Schizosaccharomyces pombe: one gene and its partner. The gene in region 2 interacts genetically with the main gene of each other region. Each region holds a gene or a part of one and is shown on either strand. Other genes may lie near its edges. The genes, in order: knk1 and mto1.

Evidence for each region.
Region 1: of mto1 (region 2) and knk1, changing one enhances a phenotype caused by changing the other (phenotypic enhancement), as found in Schizosaccharomyces pombe (one study listed by BioGRID).

The regions. Positions count from the first base shown.
Region 1 is NC_003423.3:676,715-688,454, forward strand, and holds knk1 (AAA family ATPase), read right to left. Parts: upstream 5,953-11,740; 5' UTR 5,913-5,952; coding exon 4,557-5,912; intron 4,525-4,556; exon of another isoform or gene 4,509-4,524; coding exon 4,100-4,508; intron 4,053-4,099; coding exon 3,835-4,052; 3' UTR 3,189-3,834; downstream 1-3,188. Other genes in the region: putative NatC N-acetyltransferase non-catalytic subunit Naa38, read left to right, coding at 47-194, 343-413; AP-1 adaptor complex beta subunit Apl2, read right to left, coding at 869-2,920; decaprenyl diphosphate synthase subunit Dps1, read left to right, coding at 7,429-8,403, 8,485-8,646; SPOM_SPBPJ4664.02 (glycoprotein), read left to right, coding at 11,002-11,740.
Region 2 is NC_003421.2:1,676,155-1,688,715, forward strand, and holds mto1 (gamma tubulin complex linker Mto1), read right to left. Parts: upstream 7,118-12,561; coding exon 3,770-7,117; 3' UTR 3,607-3,769; downstream 1-3,606. Other genes in the region: cfh2 (chitin synthase regulatory factor), read right to left, coding at 1-802; mug27 (protein kinase Mug27/Slk1), read right to left, coding at 1,317-2,132, 2,175-2,624, 2,674-3,282; tef3 (translation elongation factor eEF3), read left to right, coding at 9,512-12,561. UniProt on the Schizosaccharomyces pombe protein: Spindle pole body (SPB) component that acts as the gamma-tubulin complex-binding protein of the SPB outer plaque.

The DNA of each region.
Region 1 (11,740 bases), on a different chromosome or scaffold from region 2:
TGCTATTGATTTCACTTCCCCCAAGCTTGATGAATTTTCCTTGATCATGGAAAATGGAGAGATTTTACTGACCAGCTGGCTCAATCGGTCAGTTCATATTGAAATTTTTGATGAGAGAAAATTCATCGGAAAGTTCTTGTGCACTGACAGAGAAGGCGCTGCCATTCTCTCAAATACCACAGAATACAACAAAGGTAAGATTGATATGTGTTCATGAATAGCGCGTCCCTCAAATTCAAGTAAACTTTCGCTGGGTTACTGTTTAAATTGAAAACAAACGTTCCAGCTAGTACCTCTTTCTGTTTTTCACCAATTTCGTCAAAACTAATATAATGAAATCAGGCTTCTCTAGAGCTTTGGGTTTAGTGGTGATTCCAGGAAAGCATATCAAAAGCTTCTCCGTACGTGCCTAAAGCACCCATAAATCTCCTTAACATTTTCATCTCACTTACGTATGTATGTATATATATATATATATATATATTGGAATGAATTCAAAAACGAATATCGCCAGGGATAATCATTACATTCGTACAGATTAAAAAACGCCTATAATTAACATTACAATCTGTACCACTCGTGATAGCACCTCAGTGATAATGATTACTGCAATGAGCAGTCCCTATTTTTGCTTCGCATCCATTTTAACAAATATTTTTTTATTTATTTATAAAAACGAAAGAAGAACATGCTTTCTATGTTAAAATTGACTTTCTGATTTGGGAAAAAACAACAATTGAAACATATCTTCATAAACTAGATGTGCATCAATCAACCTTATCCCGTTTTTCCCATTAGACAAACGAAACGAGATAAATATTAATAAAACAAATCATCATCTATCATGCCACTCATCTGTCGTTTATCTTTAAAGCCCTAACAGATCATCTGTTGCCGATCTAGCCTTTACAGGTTCAGCGTTATTTGTGCTCGGTGCCTCAAAAGCCATGAACAAATCCATTGCACTATTTGAGCCCGACTGAGGTTGTGCGCTGGTTATTGGAGAATCACTGGCAGACGTTGCGCCTGGATCAGTAAAATCAAGGTCAAGCAAATTTTCAACGTTGGCTCCTTTTTCAATAGCTTCATGAACATTGGCTTCTTCAATGTTCAATTCTTCAACAGCTCGACGCTGTATTGCGTCTGCGCCAAACTTGCCCTGGCCAATAAAGGATTCCGGTAATTTATGGTATACAGAAGCAAGAGTTGTGATTTCACACAACAGAGCATCCAAAAGTGCCTCAGGTAGATTGTTATTATAAGATACGGAAGGCTTTTCGCAACAAACAATTTTTTGAGCTTTACGAACATTTTCAGGTGTCAACAACCGCTGATATGCAAAGGCACGATCCCTTAAATCCTGATTGCTTGATTGATTAATTGCATAATTTAATACTTTCTGTACGAGTTCTTCATCGTTTCCTTTGCCGTTCATCAAACTCAATTTTACAACAGCCGTCAGTAAAGCCAATTGAATCTGTAAATCTTCATCCGCCATAGTAGAAATCATTTCGGATAATAGTTTAGAAGAAGTAGGTATAACGTGTGAAAATTCCCCTAAAATCCAAGCCATACTACTACGGGCTCTAGGGTCACCAAGCTCCTCAATGACACGAGAAAGATATGGAAGTAATAAGTCAATCTTTTGAGGGTATTTGCGCAAAACCGTTTCCATCACCACCGTGACTTCTTGAACCATATAACTAATATTTAACTCATAGATTTCAAGAAATATGGAGATGCAATCATTGATGACGCTTGGAACTTTCAATGCAACGTCTCCAAGGCATTTAATCGTTTGTTTCACAAATTCTAGTTCAACTTCGGAAACGTACGCTCGAAGCTCGGAAATGGTCTCGTTAATGTTTTCGTCACATGCAAGCATTGTAATTATCTTTAGTTTCTCCATTTTAATATAAAGAGGATCATTATATTTGCAGAAAAAAACCCGAGTTTTGACATCAAAAATAGAAGGCCTCTTTTGTAATATTAAATTAATGTTCCGTAAGGCTACATACTGGATTTCTGAGTCCGTAGAAAGTAGCGTCAAAAGAGGAGGAGCCATTTTTTTGTACAGAAAGTCTGTAAAGTCACTGGAAAAGAGAGGGATATGTACCATTATGACTTTCACAGCGGACAAAACGACACCACTATTTGCATGTTGGAATTGAGGAACCACCCTTTCACAAACATATTCAGCTTCCTTGATATCAGAAGTGCGAAATCTAGCTAAAGAATTCAAAATAGTAATCCGACCCCACTCATTACACTCACTCAAAGCAACCATTAGCCTGTCTGTCATCGTGTAAACTACATTAAAATATCCCTTTTCAGGGTCCTGATCATGAATTTCAGCAAGTGAGCGGACTGCATTAGCCACAACCACAGGATTCGGATCAGATACCAACGCCTGCAATTGTTCGATGAAACCATTTGATGCACAGTATTCTCGATCAAGGTCATACATCTTTACAACACAAACCGCTGCAGCCTTACGAACATAGGGATGCTCATCCTTCAAAGCTTTTCGCAACGGATCTGCCAAATAGCCAATGATTTTATTTACCCGAATGCAACCCATAGTTCTAATTGCCAGAGCTCGTAAAGTAGGATTATATTCCTCAGAATCCTTTACAAAAGTATTAACGGCTAAAATACAAAGATCAGGGTGTGTTTTGGCATAGTTAATTAGATATAAATAAACCAGTTTTTTCAAGGTGATATCGCGAGTAGCTAGGTTCTTTAAAACATCGGGAAACAGACTAGACACATCCTTGCCAACAGTCATTGCGGCAATAGTCCGTTTCACAGCATCAATTCTCTCGTAGGCATACTGAGAAACTAGTCCCTTTTGTAATTCACTTGTTTCGCTTTTTTTAAATGCCTTAAAACGGCTCGATTGAAACAACTTTGGAACCATTCGGTACTATTGTATAATTCCGCTCTTTATGTAGCTCTTTTAAAGGTGGTAAACGTCCTAAGGTCAAAAACACGTTTACATATATAAAGCAGTGGTTCAATAATCATGTCAAGTCAAACCCATTCGGTGAGAAACACCCACTCCCAGAAGTAACAAAGGTGACAATATCGAATACTGAAATCCAATTTCTATATATTCATGATTTCATTTTCAACCTGCAATGCTTTAAACGCTACTATTATGACCTTTAAATAAATTTTAAAACATTTAATTCAGTATACAAACAAGAGGTTGAAATGTTATTTCAATAAAAGCTATAAGTTAATTGCCGTAAAAATGCGATTCAAGTAAAGCAATACCCTTTTCCAAACATTAAATAACTAATAATTATTGTTCAAAATTGGAGAATAGTGAAGGGAAAAAAAGTAGCCCAATAGGTTGAGGCTGTATGTAAACGAAATAAATATGACGATAAATGGAAAAAATAAAATAAAGAGAATTGATGGAAAATACAAAAGGGGAGCATTTGTAAAAGGCGCTGTCAAGTCGGCTATGATTTAAAATGTCGTTTATAGCGATAGTCAAATCACGAATACATTTTAGTTGTTGTAGGAAAGACGAAAATAAAATGAAGGTAAACAGAAATTAAAATTCGTAATAAGCCAAGTTTATGCAAAAGAAAGTTATTGAAACCACATGAAAATCAGCATCCACGATTCAATCCCTAAATGCACGGTAATTCTCATAATATCCAGAAAAACGATACCCAAATGATTCGTTAAGAAACATTAAAGGATAAAATTAAAAAGAGAGAAAGGAAGTTTGAATAAATTAAAGGATACCCTGCCTTTTTGATGCAAAAGAATATATGATTTCTTGAAAATATTAAAGGTAGAATACTCTACAAAGTTGTTTTAACGTTGCGAACCAAATTGTTTATTCCACTCTTCGTAACGATGAATACCCTCTTGTGAGACACTTGGACGAATAGTACGAAGGCTAGCTTTAAAATGATTCAAGCTGATCGGAGGTATCATCTCTGCACTGGTGGTAAGTAGAGCATCACCCAAGTTTCTTAAAGGACCCATTGCTGCGTCTTTGGCTAAAGCAGTGATATCAGAGCCTGAATAACCTAGATGGCGTTAGTTAACTAACCAATCGAATTATTTATATACATACCTTCGGTAAGATTGACAAGTTCTTCCAGATCCTCCTCCGTCAAACAGTGTACTTGATTATGAAGCAAATGAGAAAGATGTTTATATCTTGTTTCTTTTTCAGGTAACGGAATATAGGTTCTTTTAACGAATCGGCGTCGAGCAGCCTCATCAATACACCACGGAAGATTTGTAGCTGCCAGCACCAAAACACGGGGAGAGTGACCAGTTTGCTTGTCCGGAGCCGCATTAGTTAACGAAGACCATTGAATTAAAAATTCTGTTTTTAATCTACGAGAGCTCTCGTGCTCATTACCGCTGTCATTACGAGCGGAAAGAATGGAATCAATTTCATCAACAAAGATAACGCTACATGTCTGGCGCTTCGCAACTTCAAAAAGGGCTCGAACCAACTTTTCAGAATCACCAAGCTAAATCAAGGTTAGTTAAGAATGGGGTTAAATATAAAACTTGCTTACATATTTCGAGGTTAATGATGAAGCCGAAATCGAAAAAAATGTGGCTTTCGCTTCGGTCGCAACAGCACGAGCAAGCATGGTTTTGCCGGTGCCAGGGGGGCCAAAAAGAAGCATGCCTTGTACGGGTTCACGCAATCCTTGGAAAAGTTCCGGGCGTAAAAACGGATAAATGACTGCCTCTTTCAAGGAATTTTTAGCGTCATCTAATCCGGCAATGTCCGACCAGTAGACAGGTTCATGGTTAGAAATAATTTCATTCATAATAGCATATTCAAAATCACTTGAAGGAGTGGTCTGTTGAAGAGGTTCAGTTTGTTGAGTAGTACTAGCTGAGATAGTTTTTGACACAATTGTCTTAGAATCAGCGGTTGCCGGAGGAGATGTAGCAGGTGATCCGGCTGTGTCAGCGGAAGACGGTCGAGTGGAAGAACCAAGGGTATCATGAGAAGAGTTTAAGTATGGTTTATATGGGCTAGGATGCTTGCGCGATTTTCCATCGCTGGATGAATGCGATGCAGACGTAAGGGGGACGGCAGGAACATGGAGTGGAGGAATTGGCGCATGGAAGGAGAGGGGAGTGCTATTGTTAGCATTTTGATTGTTTGACACCTGAATAGAAGGGCTAGATACCGAATTGGAAAGCGTCGGTTTAGTCGTAGACTGACTTTTCATAGCGGTAGGAAAAGTGGTGGAATTCATGGTAGCAGAACGACCTGTATCAGAAGAAAGAGCAGAAGCAGAAGCGGCAGCACTCTTAGAAGCAGCAGCAATGGCCGAAGCAGAAGAATTGAAAGAGGCAAAGGGATCTTCGGGTTTGAGGGGTGGAGAACGGTTTGGCTTAGAGGGTGCCAGATAAGAAGGTGCATCTCCATAGGAAGAAGAAACAATGGATGAAGTGGAGGTAGAAGGAGGCGAATGCTTGGAATATATTTGCTTAGGCGTAGATAAATTTACCTCCGACTGCGCACCTCTCGTCTGTCTGTACATCATCCTAGTAGTCATGGGGGTATACGCAGGTGTTTGAGATCTTACTGGACGTAAGGGGTGAAGATCAACGGGCGCCTTCTTTGAAAGTTTGGCTGCAAGTTGATAATTTTGCCTTTCCATTTCACTTTCCAAAATCGTCTTACGCAGCTTGCTTGCCTTGCTCAAACAGTTGTCATAGAGCCCGTTCCAAGAACATGCCTCTGCGCCCGTCAAAGGTCCCAATCCCATGCGATCGCGAGCTGCCGACGACTTCTTCATCTCCTCTAAAACCTTGCAGTAACTCACATACGCACCAGCCCAATCCCTATTTCCTTCACACAATAATGCTCTTGATGCTATCGGTAGTATTCTATCCAAGTCTGAGTCCATTTTCCGCAGTCGACTCGTCAATGGCTTTTTTGCTTTTGGCAAGTTCAAATGTCAAAAGTGCTGTCTTGTCGTTAAAAATCCCATAGAATGTTCGAAGTAACGCTGTTACTTTTCAGCCACTGGTTTTCTTTCATCTCTTCAAAAGCTATTTGATAAGGAATTCGTATTGGAGAAAATCATTTTATTCATAGATTCAATAGATGAGTAAATATCTTTCTTTCACACTCTTTTTTTTTTCCCGCTAATTCGCAAATCCGGAAATTTGTTTACAACAAAAAACGTATTATTAACGATATTAATCATTTCATCGCTATGCTAGTAGTGTGGATTAGAGAGCACTTTAAAATCGAGCGCCTTCGACTGGCTGAAAAACAGAAGCCAAGCGGTTTTCGATGAGAACAAATTTGCGAAAATTTAAGTATCTTTTGATATACCTACAAATTCTAAAAAAAATTTCTCTAGTTGAACTTAACGCTCAAATAGAGCTTTTTTTAAGAATACTTGAGGCCCGGGAGATGTAAACAGATCAGCTATGTCTGAAAGGAACGGGATGGCACTTAATGTTGATAAATTTTTTATTTTTTAAATTCTTGAAGTGAATGGTGAAAAAAGTCGGGCGCCTAATCGTTAAAAGCCTTCAAAAGTCAAAATGTGATAAAACAAATATGAATGTAACGTTTTGTACTACAATGACAATAATCTTAGCAGGCGAATCGTTTTGTAGACTAGAAAAGTACGTAATTTATTTTTATTAAATGATCCTACAAATACTAAAACTTGTAAAAATGCTTTTAAGCAATTTCTGATCAATTAAAATTTCACGCATGTCAAACCATTTAGAAATGTTTATGTTGTTAAAGCAGTGTTACAAAGCTATTAAAATACCTAAAAAATATCAACAATGTATTCGTAAATTCCTAGAACCAATAATTGTTCAAGTAAGATGAGAAACTCTTGGAAGATCAACACATATAGAGGATTCCCTGAAGCTGTTATATTAACTTCGCCAAAAAAAAATTAGTTGTAGTATAAGATTCATTTACTTATCTAAATATTCTGCTTTTGAGTATTCAACCAAGTAGCACTTCTCCCATCGAATATTGAAGCAATTTGGAAGTATAAATTGTTTTGATTATTGTGTCGTATAAAAAATGATACACGGGAGAGATGCATATGCAAATAGATCTGTGAATTTTATTGTTAACTGATTTGATGTATAAGCTGTTGTAAGTTTTGATAATGAATTTGGCCTCTGAGGAAGATGCTCAATATCCTGCTTGACTCAACAGAATTCTTCAGAAAAAATACTTAAGATCAGAATGGTATGAAGAAAAAACGATAATTAAAAAATGTTTTGTTTGTTTACAAACTATTTAATGATTCTTCCGTTCTTTGAAATAAACTTATCTGATCAAAGCGACGTCATATCTAAGCGAAATCACGGTAAATACCATGATATACAAACCATCCCAACTCTAACTTCATCATTTAGTTACTTTTGAAAATAAGAAATGAAATGATTCAGTATGTATATTTAAAACATATGAGGAAATTATGGAGTCTTGGAAAAGTCCGTTCGACTGTTCTTCGGTTTTCTACTACGAACCGCAATGCTTCACATTTAATTAAAAACGAGTTGGAACAAATCTCACCAGGGATTCGTCAAATGCTGAATTCAAATTCAGAATTTCTTGAAGAGTGTTCTAAATATTATACCATTGCTCAAGGAAAACAAATGCGTCCTTCTCTTGTTTTGCTGATGTCCAAAGCTACAAGCTTGTGCCATGGTATTGATCGGTCCGTAGTGGGCGACAAATATATTGATGATGATGATTTAAGATCATTTTCGACGGGTCAAATTCTTCCTTCTCAATTGAGATTAGCACAAATAACCGAGATGATCCATATAGCAAGTTTGCTGCATGACGATGTGATTGATCACGCTAATGTCCGTAGAGGCTCACCTTCAAGCAATGTTGCTTTCGGTAATCGACGGTCAATCCTTGCGGGTAATTTCATCCTTGCACGGGCTTCGACTGCTATGGCCCGCCTTCGAAATCCCCAAGTTACGGAGTTGTTAGCTACAGTGATAGCAGACTTGGTTCGAGGTGAGTTTTTGCAGCTAAAAAATACTATGGATCCTTCATCTTTGGAAATAAAACAATCAAATTTTGACTATTATATTGAAAAAAGTTTTTTGAAAACAGCCAGTTTAATTTCCAAAAGCTGCAAGGCTTCTACAATCCTCGGACAATGTTCTCCTACTGTAGCAACAGCTGCTGGAGAATACGGTCGATGCATTGGTACTGCTTTTCAACTAATGGATGACGTGTTGGACTATACGTCGAAAGATGATACTTTAGGAAAGGCGGCTGGTGCAGATTTGAAGCTAGGGTTGGCTACAGCTCCCGTCCTCTTTGCATGGAAAAAGTATCCAGAACTTGGTGCAATGATTGTGAATAGATTCAATCATCCTTCTGATATCCAACGGGTAAGAGAAGCTGAAGTTTTATTTATTTATTTGATTTCCTTTTCTCTATCGTTAATTTTCAATTGCTAACATATAATTTAGGCTCGTTCTTTGGTTGAGTGCACTGATGCTATCGAGCAAACCATCACTTGGGCAAAAGAATATATCAAAAAAGCCAAAGATTCCCTTCTGTGTCTCCCTGATTCACCTGCAAGGAAGGCACTTTTTGCGTTGGCTGATAAAGTAATAACGAGAAAGAAGTGACGAGTTTAGTACGCTGCATCTTTAACTATTAGATAAAGGCCTCTTTTTCTTATTCTCGAAAAATTTAAAACAATTAGGTTTAATTATATATACGACTTTGGTAGACCGAGTTGAATTACCGCTCTTAATAGAGCAGTGAAAATATTACTAATATGCGCTGCCTTGATTGGTTTTTCTTCCATAAATGATTTCAGGTTATTACAAAGTGAACGACAACTGCCAACGAATGCAATGATTTTATAACGACATTGCAAGCCACTAATGATACTGTCTATAAAAATTGGACTTCAATAAATAAACCAAGCACTTCGTAATAACTATTCTTGACTAGTGTTATAGTCTTTGTGATCTCGCTGCTCAAATGTCAGATGCTGATTTTGGCTCCAATTTTCTGTTTACGTTATAACAACTATCATGTAAGTTTGTCCATTACTTATATCTGGTGAAAAAGGCTGCATAACTATGGTAATACTTTTTGTCAGATCTAAAATTAGGAATCAGATTTTATCCGGTAGCTTGCTGTGCTTTCCCTGGACTGCAAAATTATTTTCACCTGTATTCTTTTACTATACCTTTTTGATAGCCTATAAACGTTGAGCGTTGAGCTTTTAAACTTACCAAAACTACAGGGCCTTCCTTCTTTCCCCAATGCTCGAATGAACTTTCGTTAGTATCAACGTTTCCTTTTGTTTAGTACCCCTATAACAATATATATAACGACCTTCTTTTTGAATAAACCATAGCAAAAGCTAAAAGTTTGGATGTATTAATGAACATTGTACACCTCAGTCAAACAACAGTAATTTGACTATTAGATGATGATCGTAATTACTATGTTAACATATATCTGATGCCTCAAAAGTGCAAGAAAATGAATAAATTTCAAATTAGTAAATAATTGACTATCGGAAATACTTAACAATATATAGATCCAGTTTTTGGTTCAAATAATTAATATTATTATTAATAATATAATCGTGAATTGCATCCTGTTGCTAGTTTAAAGCCCTTTGTTACCACAATGAAGTTTAAATGGGTTTAAAAAATCCTTAAAAAAATAGATTTTATTGATCATCATGCAATGTCATTAGAGTAAAAAGTACGGACGAATGTATATTTTTTTTATTTACCATAATTTGGTACACTTTGATATACTAATGTAGGTACAGTGCTTTCAAGAAGAGCTCAAGTAACAATGTCAGTGGTTACCTACTAATTATATTTTTTCCATTAACAGAACCATCTAATAGCAAACCTTTTTGAATGTCAGTTTAATTCAATATACATGTATGTGAATTTTGTGCTCATAATTAAACATATTAAACATAATAAATAACTAATCTCGAAAATTCAAACATCCGCAATACAATTACAAAGTTTAAAACACGCTGATAAAAAACTTCTTAAATGAATCCTGTATCCGTAAAGGGTCAATGTTTTATTCTAGAAGCCCACATCCGCTTAATCGTCTATCCAAAATTTTTGGAACGGGTTAAGCTTTAAGCAGTTAAACTTGCTCATAAACTAAAAATTTATCTCTCTCATATAAACGCTTTGGATTTTGGTATTATTGTGAGATGCCAGAGTCACTTAAGCTTGTTTAATCAAATTATTGCTACGCTTTGTCGTAAGGGAATATGTTCGATGGATGATTGCTACTCCCAACATTTATCCAATATGTTTTATCTCTTCTGATTTACTCATGCGATATTGCAAGATAATCGGCCTATATTCTGTAAGCATATTACATGCTTCGTTATAGCCGATTCTTACCGGTGATGTTTCAGATCTTCATGGGCTTCTAGGCCGTAGTTGTAGCGATACATTGTCAACTTGTTCCGTCGGGACATAATGGAAATCAATGATGAGGCTGGCTCAAAACTATGTTTTTTTAAATAGAAAAGTGTATAATTTTCCTGGGTGATTTATTTTTTTTTGGCGTTTCTTTTTTTGGGAGAGTTGGCTTTTGAGTGTAGAATACTCCAGTTTAACTTGGCCATTTATTCTGTCGCTTGGATCATAGTGATACCTTTAATCAGCTTAAACTTCATTCATTTTCTATATTTAGATATTCACTGCTCTGAGCAGATTAACTCATTGGTATTCTCTGTTCCTTATTTCGGTAAATTCTAAGCTCATTTCAGCTCCCACATTGCTCAGGGATTTCGCTTGAGATCTGATATATACAAAGAGTTATACTTAGCGAACATTCACCCATTACACGTATTTGATCGTTTGTATTTACTCTTTGTTGTTCGTCGTCGCCAATCGGTTTCATGAATATATTTTGAAAACAAACTTTCTTGCCTAATCAAAGGATCAACCGATCTGTGCCAACTTTAATGGTGTCTAAGAATGGTCGAAAAAACTTCACCGATTTTAATAACCCTTTGTATATTTTTGTTAATTCCAATATCAAGTGCTCTTCCTTTTCAGACTTTCGAGGAAAGCCTGAAATTGAAAAGTAATATTTCGCATACTGGATCTTTTTTCGCTAATCTTTCGCAATCATATTCTTCAACTAGCATAATACATTCAGTGAGTTCTCCTGTTGATTGCTCTTTGGACGTTAATAACCAAATTAATACTATTAATATCACCTCAGTTTCAGCTGGGACTAATGAATTGTTTTTACCTACTTTATCCCATGCTCACGCTAATGACCGGGAAGCATCTCTTTTTTTTCCATACACAGACATAAGATATAACGGCTTCCCAGAACCCTCCAATACGGACAGTACGAGCATATTATCCTTTAATACCATTCGTTTAATCCCGTCCACTAATGTCATAAACACTTCACATTATAAAGGTTTTAATCGCTATCCAACGATATCATCAACAGTCAAAGTAGGTAAACGCGCAGCGACCGCTTCATTCTCCTATACCAACGTTTCGTCTTCCGTAATAGCGACAGCGTATACTTCTGCTTCTTCAACAATTTTATCTTCGCCATCAGTTGAACAATCTACTCCAAGTATCATTACTCAAACTGAAAGCTCTACAACTACTGAAGGCAGCAGTGTCGCTTCTTCTGAAAGTACTATTGCCAATTCCGATCAGTCATCTTTTATAACGTATGAATCGACTCAAA
Region 2 (12,561 bases):
CAACCCTATAGGCAGCCTGCACGTGATTCAAGTCGGCCGCCATTTTATACAGTCGATATGCTTCCTTCTCATTAATTTCCGTTCTCAATGCACCGGTTCCATAGCATACAGCCAACAGATAAAGTGCTTCTGAATAGCCAAAAAAAGAATTTCCTTGAGATACAAACGAAGTCAAATAATCAAAAGCCTCCTCTTTTTTCCTAGCAACATACTCTCTGTTGCGGCGACTAGAGGATTTTTCCGCTTGAAGAGCAAGTTGCAAAAAAGAAAGTCTAGTTTCTGGTTCACACATCTCAGCACTGGCTAACTTGTATGAACTTTTCAACTCCTCCAAGCTAATGCTTTTTTTGAAGTTGCGGAACATTTCATCGGAACCGGGATCGGATTGCAAAGAGCGTTGATTGAATGCATAATCTGGATCGTAAGATGGCGGTTCAGGATCGAAAAGACCACTCTTTAAATTTAAATTTTTCACGTTGATAGCGGAAAAATCCACGGCAGATGAAAACGTCTGTTCCGATTTTTTTTTCGACACTATTTCGAGCTCTTTGAAGGGGCTAAGATTTCGCTGTGACTGAATATTCGATGCAGAATCGGAAAATGACGGTACTTCATGAATCAGGGTATTGGTAGGTACTTCGTCAAACTCTTCCGATTTCTTAAACTGAGCCAAAGGATGAAGATAATCATCGTTAGAGCTAATTTCAATGGCATGGGTGTCTGAGCTAGGCTCGATATCATAATCAATTGTCGTTCTGTCCCACTCGTGAGCACTCCCAGTGCCGCCATTGCTAACTAGCATTTCTATGGCTTTAATGGTTATAATGCCTTCTATCTTCTATTTCACTTTCAAAGAGCGAGGAATGAAAATTGAATTCAAGGCTGCAACTGGATATAGGTGAAGGGTAAAAATTTATCTGTCAAACTGATGACTCGATCCGAGGGTCACGTCATGAAGCTAACGAAGCGACGTTATATCGTCGGACTTAAAAGTTTATTTGAATATAAACTACTTTTAAGCGTACAGGTTGATCTACCTACAAGAAAGATACGTTTACAGTAGAATTTTCAAAATTTTAGTGGGTTTTCAGCTGGATTAAGGATGCAGTTCTCTCTAAACAGTCAAGAATTAACTATTTACTTATAATTAATATTCATATCTCCCTTTTATGGAGAAATATGCTGATTAGTTTCGAGCGGAATACGCTGCTTGGCTCATCGATTCCGAATATGCTGTGGCTCAGAACGCTTTTCATGTCGCAATAACGAGACTTTTCGGCGTTTCTCAATGGTAATTGATGCGTTATTATCTGGATTTAGAGCAAAAATTCATACAGGTCTTTGCCTTTTCTTTCCAGAAGCCGATGGACTCTTGATGACTTAGTTTTGTGACCCTTTGTTTTTGATCGCTTGTCCTCATCCAGGTCCTCAATAGCAGTGGTGCCTTTGTTATGACTAACGGTGATTAAATCCTTTTGTTTAGTGCTATTATTTTTCTTCTCCGGTTTCTCTTTGCGAAGTTGTCGCTTTTCACGATGCCGACCCACCAGTGGCTTTCTTGCGTTGGGTCGATACTTGAAGGTGAAACCAAGAAATTGTCTTTGATTACCGTTCATAACTCCATTGCTTTTTGCTTTTTGCTCTGCCTTCCTTTGCTTTTCGTACACATCTTTGTACGCATCTAGTACCTGTTCGTCATTGAAATCATCAAAATAGGAAGTATCAAGTTGATTCTCCAAGCGGGGAACAAATGGTGGCACAGCTCTTTTCCGCAAACCGTTCCAATGGAGTCTCTTAAAAAATGGATGCTTTTGGATTTCGATTGTGCTTTGAAATCTTGACGTTGGTTCTGTTAGACACTTGGTGATGAAAGACCATGCCTCGTCTGAAACCGATCTCGCTTTTTTGTCGTAAATTCCATTTTCATTTTTGGAGGGTCTCTGCAACATTTCTCGCCAGTAGTATAGATTAGTCCACGTTTCTTGGAGCGTTGACCCAGAAAAGGGAGGATATCCTACCAGACATTCATAACATATGCAGCCAAGTGACCAGTAGTCTACGGTCCTATCGTATTTCTTTCCGTAAACAACTTCTGGAGCCATGTATTCAGGAGATCCAACAACGGAATTTACCTAATTTTTTTTTAGTTTACGTTTGAATCAAAATGTCTTTACCTTGTTCTCATTCTTTTCCAAAAGCGCTTTATAAATGTTTCTTCTTTGCTTTTGTGTTAAATAAGGTCTCTGAGGATTAACCGCGCTCACTAGTGCATGTTGAAGTCGATTTACCTGATTCGATGTAACAATTGCAGTACTTAGCCCAAAGTCACTAAGCTTGATATGTCCCTTTTGATCAATTAAAAAGTTCTCGGGCTTTAAATCACGATGCATATAACCTAGTTTGTGGACTGCACTGATTGCAGCGACCATTTCTGCTAGGTAAAATCGGGTTTGATTTTCATGCAAAAGCCCCTTGGTAGTCAAAAAAGTTCGAAAATCTCCTCCAGGGACGTATTCCATTGCTAGATATACTTTTTCCTTATCTTGAAAGGCATAATACAGTTTTACAAGCCATTCGGAATTAGTATTCGTTAGTATATCTCTTTCATTCAATATGTGTTTCACCTGAGCCGTTGTTAGTTTTCTTTTAAGATCTTTAATAGTGTCTTCTTACTTCATTAAGTTGCTGTAATGTTGATTTTTTCATCATTTTCATTGCTAACAATTCGTGTGTGTTGCGCTTTTTAGCAAGCCACACAGAACCATATCCTCCTTGTCCAAGCTTTACTAATAAATCGAAATGGCTACATTGAATCTTGGTTCTTTTTTTTCTCAAAAATGCTCTTTCCCTTCCACAATGCTCTTTCCATAGTCGCTTCTGTTTAGATTGTTTTAATGACGATGTACACGCTGTAAATTCTTCCAATCTTTCCTTCCTTAGTTTATGGTACTCAATTGTGCTAATATAGTAATTGAGGAAGAAAACTTGACAGGCCATCCGCTTTCTTCTTGTCTCGGGTCGACTAAGTATTTCAACTTCACTGGGCTTTAGTAATTGGTAGTAAGTTAAACCTTTAGGATCATTTCTTTTCGTCCAGCAATTTTGTCTTTCTTCGTTGAGCACCATGCGTTCATTTTTCGAAGACACACTTGCTGACGCATTTTCCCTGTCTCGTAAATAGCCGCTTGATAGTAAAAATAAATCAGAAAATTCGACTCCATTTTCTTTTGCCTTTGATACTAGTTTGTTATTGTCTAATTCTTTAAGGCCCAGTAGGTCCATTCTATGTTTGTGGAATCGTTCTATAAAATTGTCCCAAGTGAATTGCTTTTTCCATGCAATGGATTCTTTCCTTTTTTTGCTCCTATTCAAGTTTATGTGAGCTCAATTTTGAAATTTATTTTGAGTACACGTTGTGCCTGAATAAAACTCGATTCTCCCAGCAAATGTAAACAAACACCGGGTTCTGGGAATTTTTACAAAGATGATACATGCGCAGTAAAATTTACTTAAAAAAGGTTAAATAAAAAATTATATTTCGAATTCTTTTGCGCGATTAAAATAAATTTTTTTTACGAATATGTGTGATTATTTCCTTTATAATCAGGGAGATACAAACACCAAAATGGTTAATCGAGAACAAAAAAAAATAAAAAATAAATATAAATCTTGGAATTAGCTTATTTTGTCAATTAAATTCTCCAACTAAGTAGATATGTACTGGTGATTAAGAAAAGCTATATACTTCAACCGCAAACTATCCAGATTATTATTTATGTTCTTGTGATGATATAGAAGGAGACCTAGAATTGCTTTCTTTATCCGTTTTTATTTGCCTTGAAAGACTCCTGTTTTGTCGAATCAAATCTTGAAGCCTTTCTCTGGCACCCAACTTGTCTCTTTTACGACCTTCTTGCTCAGCCTTGAGTTGAAACTCCATCTCTCTTAGTCTCAACTGCCATATATGGCTCATTCCTTCAGCATCTCGTTTCAAAGCTGTGATACCTCTTTGAACTGCTGACTTATCTGGAGAAGCGGGAACAAGCTTTTTATCCTCGGAATCCAAACTAACGCGTTTTGAAGCCCTTGGCGAATTTGGAATAGATGAAGTTGACCCAGCGCCTAAAAGTTTCACTCGTTCTTCCAACTGTGATAAACGCTTACTTCTAGCCTCAAGTACACCATCAAGCTTCCTGAGTTCGGTCTTAAATTCCCGCTCCATTGATTGACACTTCCGTTTGAATTCTTGAATGGATTTGTCCAACTCCCTAAAATTCATATTTACTGCCTGATTCATGCTTGAAATTGTCGTCAATGCTTCAACGTTGGTATTTACAGGCTTACTTCCCGTATTCAGTTGGGTAAAACGAGTGACAATGTTTTTTATGAGGGAATTTCTTTCTTCCACTTGCTCTTTAAGGCGTTTTTCAGATGCTTGTAAAAGTTTAAGTTCTCTAGATTGACTCCTTTCAGAAGGACTGGAAGATCCAGAGAGGTTTCTTCTGAAAGCTTGTGAAGACAAATTTTCCAACTCTAATTGGATTGCTTTTTTGGATCGTCTTTCCGCATCCAGTAAGTTCTTTAACTCCTTCTTTTCAGACACTAACGTCTCCAAAGAGTTTGTTTTTTCTTTTAAACTTTGCTCACAATGGTAGATTTTTTTCATCAACTTATCAGTACCAGACTGATCCTTTTTATTCTCATCTTTTAGTTTTCTTATCTGTTGTACCAAATGGTTAACCGAGCAGTGGGTGACCTGTTTATCAAATGTTTCCATAATAGCATTCTGCAAAGAATCGAAATTTTCGCGAAGGGTAACGTATTGATTATTTCTTTCCTCAATCTCACTTTTTAAAGAAGAGTTTGATGACAATATACCTTCAAATTCACGAAGTTTTTTATTTAATGAATCTAATTCGTCATTGTGCCTTTCCTTCAAGTTGCTAAGATAATCGGCTAACGATTCTTTACTCGTTGTAACGCTTTCCATTTCAGTTTTTAACTGACTAAGTTGATCATTTAACGACTCAATTTGCTCATTGAGTAAAAGTTTGTTATCGTTACTTTTCACCAGCTCGCTTTCTTTCAAAGCAATTACTTGCTTGTTTTCTTCATTTTCCTTCCTTAAAGAATCAACTTCTGCTTCTGTCATTTTCAACTGTTCAAGAAGATTTGATGTCTTTGAAGTTGAATCTTCCTTCGCTTTATTATTTTCTTCTTCCAAAGTTTGCAGCCGCTTTTGTAATTCGTCAAATTCATGGCATTTATCGTTATAACGTTCTGACAATTGGGTAATTTCATCAGTAAGCTTTTCAACCTCTTCTTTGAATAAAGAGATACTCTCCTCATTTTCCCGTATTGTTTTCTCGAATTTCTCAATTTCACGCTCTGCTTCAGTCCTAAGTTTACCTACTACTTCTTCGTAATCATCAGACTCTTTTGAAGACTTTGACAGCACCTCTTTGGTATCCTGGAGTTCTTGGGTAATCTCTTCGACATATTCCTGGAGTTGGTCAACATCTTCCCGCCATTGTTGCTCCATTCTCATCAATTTATTTTCATAATCCTCTTCAATATCTTGCAACTGTTTATATAAACGAGTAAGTTCAATTGATTGCTCTTGGGTTTTCATTCTAGATACCATCATAGAATCCCACAATTCATTCTTGCTTGATTCTGCCTCTACAATCGCATTCATCTTCCCTGAATTCAAAGCAACGGTAAGCTCCTCCACTTGTTTAACCAGGCGATCATTTTCCTGCTTGCGAAGTAGTAATGCTTCATTTTGCATAGATATGTCCATCCTCAACAGTTCATTACTACGCTGAAGTGTTTCAATAACACGCTCATCAGTATTTTTTGCAGGCATAGGAACTTTTTTGGATAACTGTACGCGAAGGGATTCCAACTCTTGCAATAGAGCTTCCTTTTCCCGCCGTTCGTTATCAAGCATATTTGACAGTACATTACGATCTTCATTGTATGCCCCAACAGAATAATTCGTCTTCTTTGATTTTTCTTTTCTCAAAGCCGCAAACGCTCTTTTGGTAGTTTCAAGCTCTGAAAGAGCCTGCGAATACCTCGATTGAAGAGTAATTAGGTTTGAAGGGGCCGGGCTGGGGGTGGAAAGGTTAAAAGACTGATCAGGCTTAATCCGGCTTTCTAATCCAGATATTTTTTTCTCATAGCCTGCAACGGCTCGTTGAAGCTCCATAGTAAGGGTCTTCAAATCGATGTTTTGCTTCATAATATCTTGAACCTCCTGATCGTGGAATTTATTTAATTGATCGTATAGAAAGTAGCATTTCAGTTTCAACCCAAACACTTCCTTTCTCAAATTATCAATCACGTTTGCTTGTTCCTTTAAAGTTAAGGAGGAGCCGGGCTGAGATTCCTCAAACTCTTTGGCAAGTGCATTTTTCCTGTCTTTTAGGTCTTTCATAGCAGACGCCGGTATCAATATATCGGAGATCTTTTTGCTTAAAGCATTGGTAGTGGGGGCATCTTGAGAATGTAAATAATTTCGTTCTTCTTTTATTGGGGTTAATTGCAAATCATCTTCATCATCCAAATGAGGTAACTGATCTAGAGAAGAAGAGATATAGTTCGGACTTGAAGGGTCCGAAGTATAATCGTAATTATTGTAACTATCTTCTTCATACTGCTCTTGGCTCTGAAACCCTTGATTAGCCGTAAGTACGGGAGAAAGCTGTTCATCATCAGTAGTAATGTTGTCATTGAGACGATCAAAATTCGTAGTATCCAAAAAAAAAGGTGCAACAGAACTATTTCCCTCCTCGTCCTCGCTATTCAATTTATTGACTGATTCATCGGGAGATTGAAGCGGAGTAGAGCTCGTTGGAGCAGTAGCATTTTGATGGAGACGAGGTGATCCAGAATCAGATTTTAAAGAATCTCTATCAATTTCAAAATCATACTTATGAGAAGCTTCTTCCGAATCTTCGTCTTTTGATGTAGAAGAGGGTAATTGCCGAGATCCTTCCTTTCTGGGTGATAAAATGCGACGAACTTCCTCGTCCGTCAGCGAAAGACCAGCTAAATTATCCACTAGAACATTAAAGTTATTACTATCTAACTCACTGGAATTTTCTTCCATAATTGATTAGAAAACGAACTTCGACATAAGCAAATCCAAAGCAGTAGGCATTGACTCTTGTAACAATTTCAAAGGAGCGATTTTTGAATAAGAAATTAATTCTTTCTTAAATTGTTAATTGTTAAAAGAAAGTATGGGATCGAAGATATGCCTATTGATACGCTATGGCATATATGTAGTGGCAGTAGTTCTCAATGGCTGTCTCTACTTGACGCATGTTAGACTAACGATCAACAAAGTAGTAGACTTGTAATTGCGGACTTTACAATTTTAGAAGGTTTAATGTTTGTGTTAGAAGCAGATATTTTCAAAAGAAGTTAATGAAATTAATTATACATTTGCACACACTCGTTTACATTATAAATAGCCATGTTATTTGGCATGCCTATGGCACATACACAAAACAATAGTACATACATTGATGATATGTAAAACGTAACTATGATTTTCATTAGATTAACTCTCCTCAAGTTAAGGTATGTTAACCTCATTTCACACTGTGAATCCTAAGTATATTAATTATTGATGGAATAAACGTTAAAAACACTAAAGTCCGCTACGATTATGCTTGAGTACATAGGTTTTCACGAACAAGCGTAAATTTGCTTTCCTACGTATAGTTGGTATGTAGCCTGAAATTATTTGTTTCAGTCTCTATTTTCACCGTGTTACATGATGCTACATTTCGATGATTTCAATCGCAACGGTAAATTGAACTATGAATATACGAACAAATATACTTTTCATTAAGAGAACATTTTTAATTTGCATAGTGTGTTCGAAACTTGAATTGAGTGAATGCGAAAATAAAGTCCTCTACAACTCATCAACTTGAGATATGTAGAGCAGCTGAAAAAAAATAATAATAAATAAATAAGTATATGTAAATTAATTTATCTAAGTAAATTAAGTTAATACTACTCAGTATTTTTTTTAATACAACAAAGAAAAGCATTCTTTCTATTAAGCGAAGGATTTTTTTTTTTTTTAAATCAATTACAATCATCACTTACTAGAATGAACCAACTAGTTGAAAACTTTCTTTTCTTTTCAATTTTTTTTTTTATTCAAGCTGATCATTGATCTGATATGTTTTCTTCAAACATTAATTCCATGAAATTGTTTAAAAAAATTTGCGAAAAAAAAAGTTGACAGGTATGTAAATATTACTAATATAGATTATTACAAAATAAAAGAGAAACTTGGCATCATCACTCGCTCTACATAATTTTTATTAAGTAAAAATGGTAATACATAAAAACTGCTTCAAACTCGTCAGTTACGTACTCTGCTAAATCGGTTAAGGTGTCAGCAATATTACATACGCTGCGATACACAACGCTGAATATCACTATATGCTACATATTCTAATTATACCATAGATGATACGATATTACGATTGTTCCTAATGAAATTATAATAAGTTCTATACTATCTGAATAATGCAAATGGAAGCACAATTGAAATGAAGAACGAGGATCAGTTATACGCTATATTAGTGATAGGTAAAAATATAACCTGTATAACAGAATAACTATACCCCAGTTGCGACCTTTATGACCCGCGTATTGCAATATGAATGATTATAAATATGTATTAAGATATTTGTAATAATGTAATACATTACTATGAATGCACTTAAATTAACTCGCGAATGAACTCATAAACGGAGTTCATTTGAGTTTACTTATAGAAATTCAATGAAGGATATATCTATATTCACCTTATATAAATGATGCGGGTATATAACGATCCAATATACAATCATTACAGTTCTGACTCTGAAAATATGATGTCCGACAGCAGCTATCTGAATGCGATTATGCCGACCCTATGCTAAATTCATTTAGTGCTACTGCATCATGTTATGCGACCAAAACCATATTATTGCCAGAGGTCATTTAGCCACGGAAAGCTTACAAGCAACATATGTTGAAAAGAAGAGTTACAGCGTCAAAAATCGTTCTTAACAACGCAGTGTGGTATTAGTTTAACGAGACATAAGGACCGCGTCGATTTGTTCATGGCATGCTTTATCTATAGTGATATCTTTAATATAGCCTTACATTTACAATGATATCGTCATACAAAGGACGCCGCCACTAAACACGTTATTTTATTTAGCGACTTCTAATTTTGCCGCTTAATAGTTTTTCCACGTCGCTAACCACTAAACACCGCCAAAGAAACCGTGGATTATGGCCACCACCAAGAAGAAAACCAAAGAAAAAGAACAGTCACATTGTAAATATGAGATTTAAATACATAAAAACATATTATTATTTTATTTTAAGTACTCCTTCTGTATTTTCTTAGTTGCAAAATTTTCATTAAGAAAATCCATTCATATACAACCAGGACCTCCGCTCATCTACCAACAACCATTTCCCCGGGATGTCTGCAAAGAGTGAGAATAAGCAGTCAGTCAAAGCTCTTGAAGAGTTGTTGAAGCACCTTACTGTCTGCGATGCCGCAGAGGAAGCTGATGCTGCCAAGGCTTTGGCTTCTTTTGTCAACGGACCCATCGAAGAGCAAGACGCGCCTTCTCAAGTTTTCTCTGCTATTTCCAAGCAGTTGAACGACAAGAACGCCACTGCTCGTGAGCGTGTCTTGAAGGGTCTTGAGGCCGTTGCCAACCATGGTAGTGTTGCCGCTGATGTCGAGCCTTACTTGGTCGAGTTGTTGCCCGCCGTCATCGCCAAGGTTGCTGACAAGCAAAACGCTGTCAGAGATGCTGCCATTGCTGCTTCTAAGGCTATTGTCCGTTGCACTACCCCTTATGCCGTCAAGGCCATCGTCCCCTCTGTTCTCGAGTCCATCCACACCACTGGTAAGTGGAATGAGAAGATGAACTCTTTGCAACTTTTGGATGTTCTCGTTGAGGTTGCTCCTTCCCAATTATCCTACTCCCTTCCTCAAATTATCCCTGTTGTTTCCGAGTCCATGTGGGATACCAAGGCTGAGGTTAAGAAGCAATCCAAGGAAACCATGACCAAGGTCTGTACTTTGATTGCCAACGCCGATATTGACCGTTTCATTCCTGAGCTTATCAACTGTATTGCTCACCCCGAGGAGGTCCCTGAGACTATTCACTCTTTGGGTGCCACTACTTTCGTTACTGAAGTCCAGGCCCCCACTTTGTCTATCATGGTCCCCTTGTTGGCCCGTGGTTTGAATGAGCGTTCCACTCCCATTAAGCGTAAGACTGCTGTCATTATTGACAACATGTCCAAGCTTGTCGAGGATCCTCAAGTCGTCGCTCCTTTCTTGCCCAAGCTTTTGCCTGGTTTGTACCACATCAAGGACACCATTGGTGACCCTGAATGTCGTTCCGTTGTTCAACGTGCCATCACCACTTTAGAGCGTGTTGGTAACGTTGTTGACGGTAAGATCCCTGAGGTTTCTACCGCCGCCAACCCTGAAGTTTGTCTCGAAACTTTGAAGGCTGTTCTCGGTGAGATCAAGGTCCCCACCAACGAGGAGGTTATTGCTAAGTACGTTGCTAACATTGCTGCCCAACTCGTTGAAGAGAAGGATAACGAAAATGAGTCCTGGGTTCTCAACATCACTCCTTACTTGACTGCCTTCATTGACGAGGCCCACATTCACAAGATCGTTGAGCAACTCCGTACCCGCTCTATCGCCAAGATTCCTGGTGGTGCTTCTCATGCTGAGGAGGAAGAGGAGGGTGAGGATCTTTGCAACTGTGAGTTCTCTCTTGCTTATGGTGCCAAGATTCTTCTTAACCGTACTCGTCTCCGTCTTAAGCGTGGTCGTCGTTATGGTCTTTGCGGTCCTAACGGTTCCGGTAAGTCTACCCTTATGCGTGCCATTGTCAACGGTCAAGTTGAAGGTTTCCCTACTCATCTCCGTACCGTCTACGTTGAGCACGATATCGACGAGTCTGAAGCCGACACTCCTTCCGTCGATTTCATTCTCCAAGATCCCGCTGTCCCCATCAAGGACCGTGATGAAATTGTCAAGGCTTTGAAGGAGAACTCTTTCACCGATGAACTCATTAACATGCCTATCGGTTCCCTTTCTGGTGGTTGGAAGATGAAATTGGCTCTTACCCGTGCTATGTTCAAGAACCCCGATATTCTTTTGCTTGATGAGCCTACCAACCATCTTGACGTTGTCAATGTTGCCTGGTTGGAGAACTTTTTGGTTAACCAAAAGGATGTTTCTTCCATCATTGTCTCTCACGACTCTGGTTTCTTGGACCACGTTGTTCAAGCCATTATCCACTACGAGCGTTTCAAGCTTCGTAAGTATCTTGGTAACATGTCCGAGTTCGTTAAGAAGGTTCCTTCCGCCAAGTCCTACTATGAGTTGGGTGCCTCCGAAATGGAATTCAAATTCCCTGAACCCGGTTTCTTGGAAGGTGTTAAGACCAAGCAACGTGCTATCATCAAGGTCCAACACATGTCTTTCCAATACCCTGGTACCTCAAAGCCTCAATTGAACGACATTTCTTTCCAAGTTTCTCTCTCTTCTCGTATTGCCGTTATTGGTCCCAACGGTGCCGGTAAATCTACCTTGATTAAGGTTCTTACTGGTGAATTGTTGCCCACTGTTGGTGAAATTTACCAACACGAGAACTGCCGTATCGCCTACGTTGCCCAAGCCGCTTTCACTCACTTGGGTCATCACCCTGATAAGACTCCCTCAGAATATATCCAATGGCGTTTCCAATCTGGTGAAGATTTGGAGGCTATGGATAAGGCTTCTCGTGTCATCAGCGAGGCTGATGAGGAGGCTATGAAGAACAAGATCTTCAAGATTGAGGGAACTCAACGTAAGATTTTGGGTATCCACAGCCGTCGTAAGCTCAAGAACTCTTATGAGTATGAGTGCTCTTTCCTCGTCGGTGAGAACATTGGCATGAAGAGTGAGCGCTGGGTTCCTATGATGTCTTCCGACAATGCTTGGTTACCTCGTGGTGAACTTATGGAGACTCACGCTAAGATGGTTGCTGAAGTTGACCGTGCTGAGGCCTTGAAGAGTGGTCAATTCCGTCCCTTGGTCCGTAAGGAGATTGAGGAGCACTGCAGCCTTTTGGGTCTTGATGCTGAGTTGGTTTCTCACTCTCGTATCAAGGGTCTTTCTGGTGGACAAAAGGTCAAGCTTGTCTTGGCTGCTTGTACCTGGTTGCGTCCTCACGTCATCGTTCTTGACGAGCCTACCAACTATCTTGATCGTGACTCTCTTGGTGCTCTTTCCAAGGGTCTTAAGAACTTTGGTGGTGGTGTCGTTTTGGTCACTCACTCCCGTGAGTTCACTGAAGGTTTGACTGAGGAAGTTTGGGCTGTCAACAACGGTCACATGACTCCTTCCGGTCACAACTGGGTTTCCGGTCAAGGTTCTGGTCCTCGTATCCAAGAGAAGGAGGAGGGCGATACTTTTGATGCTTTCGGTAACAAAATTGAAAAGGCTAAGAAGGC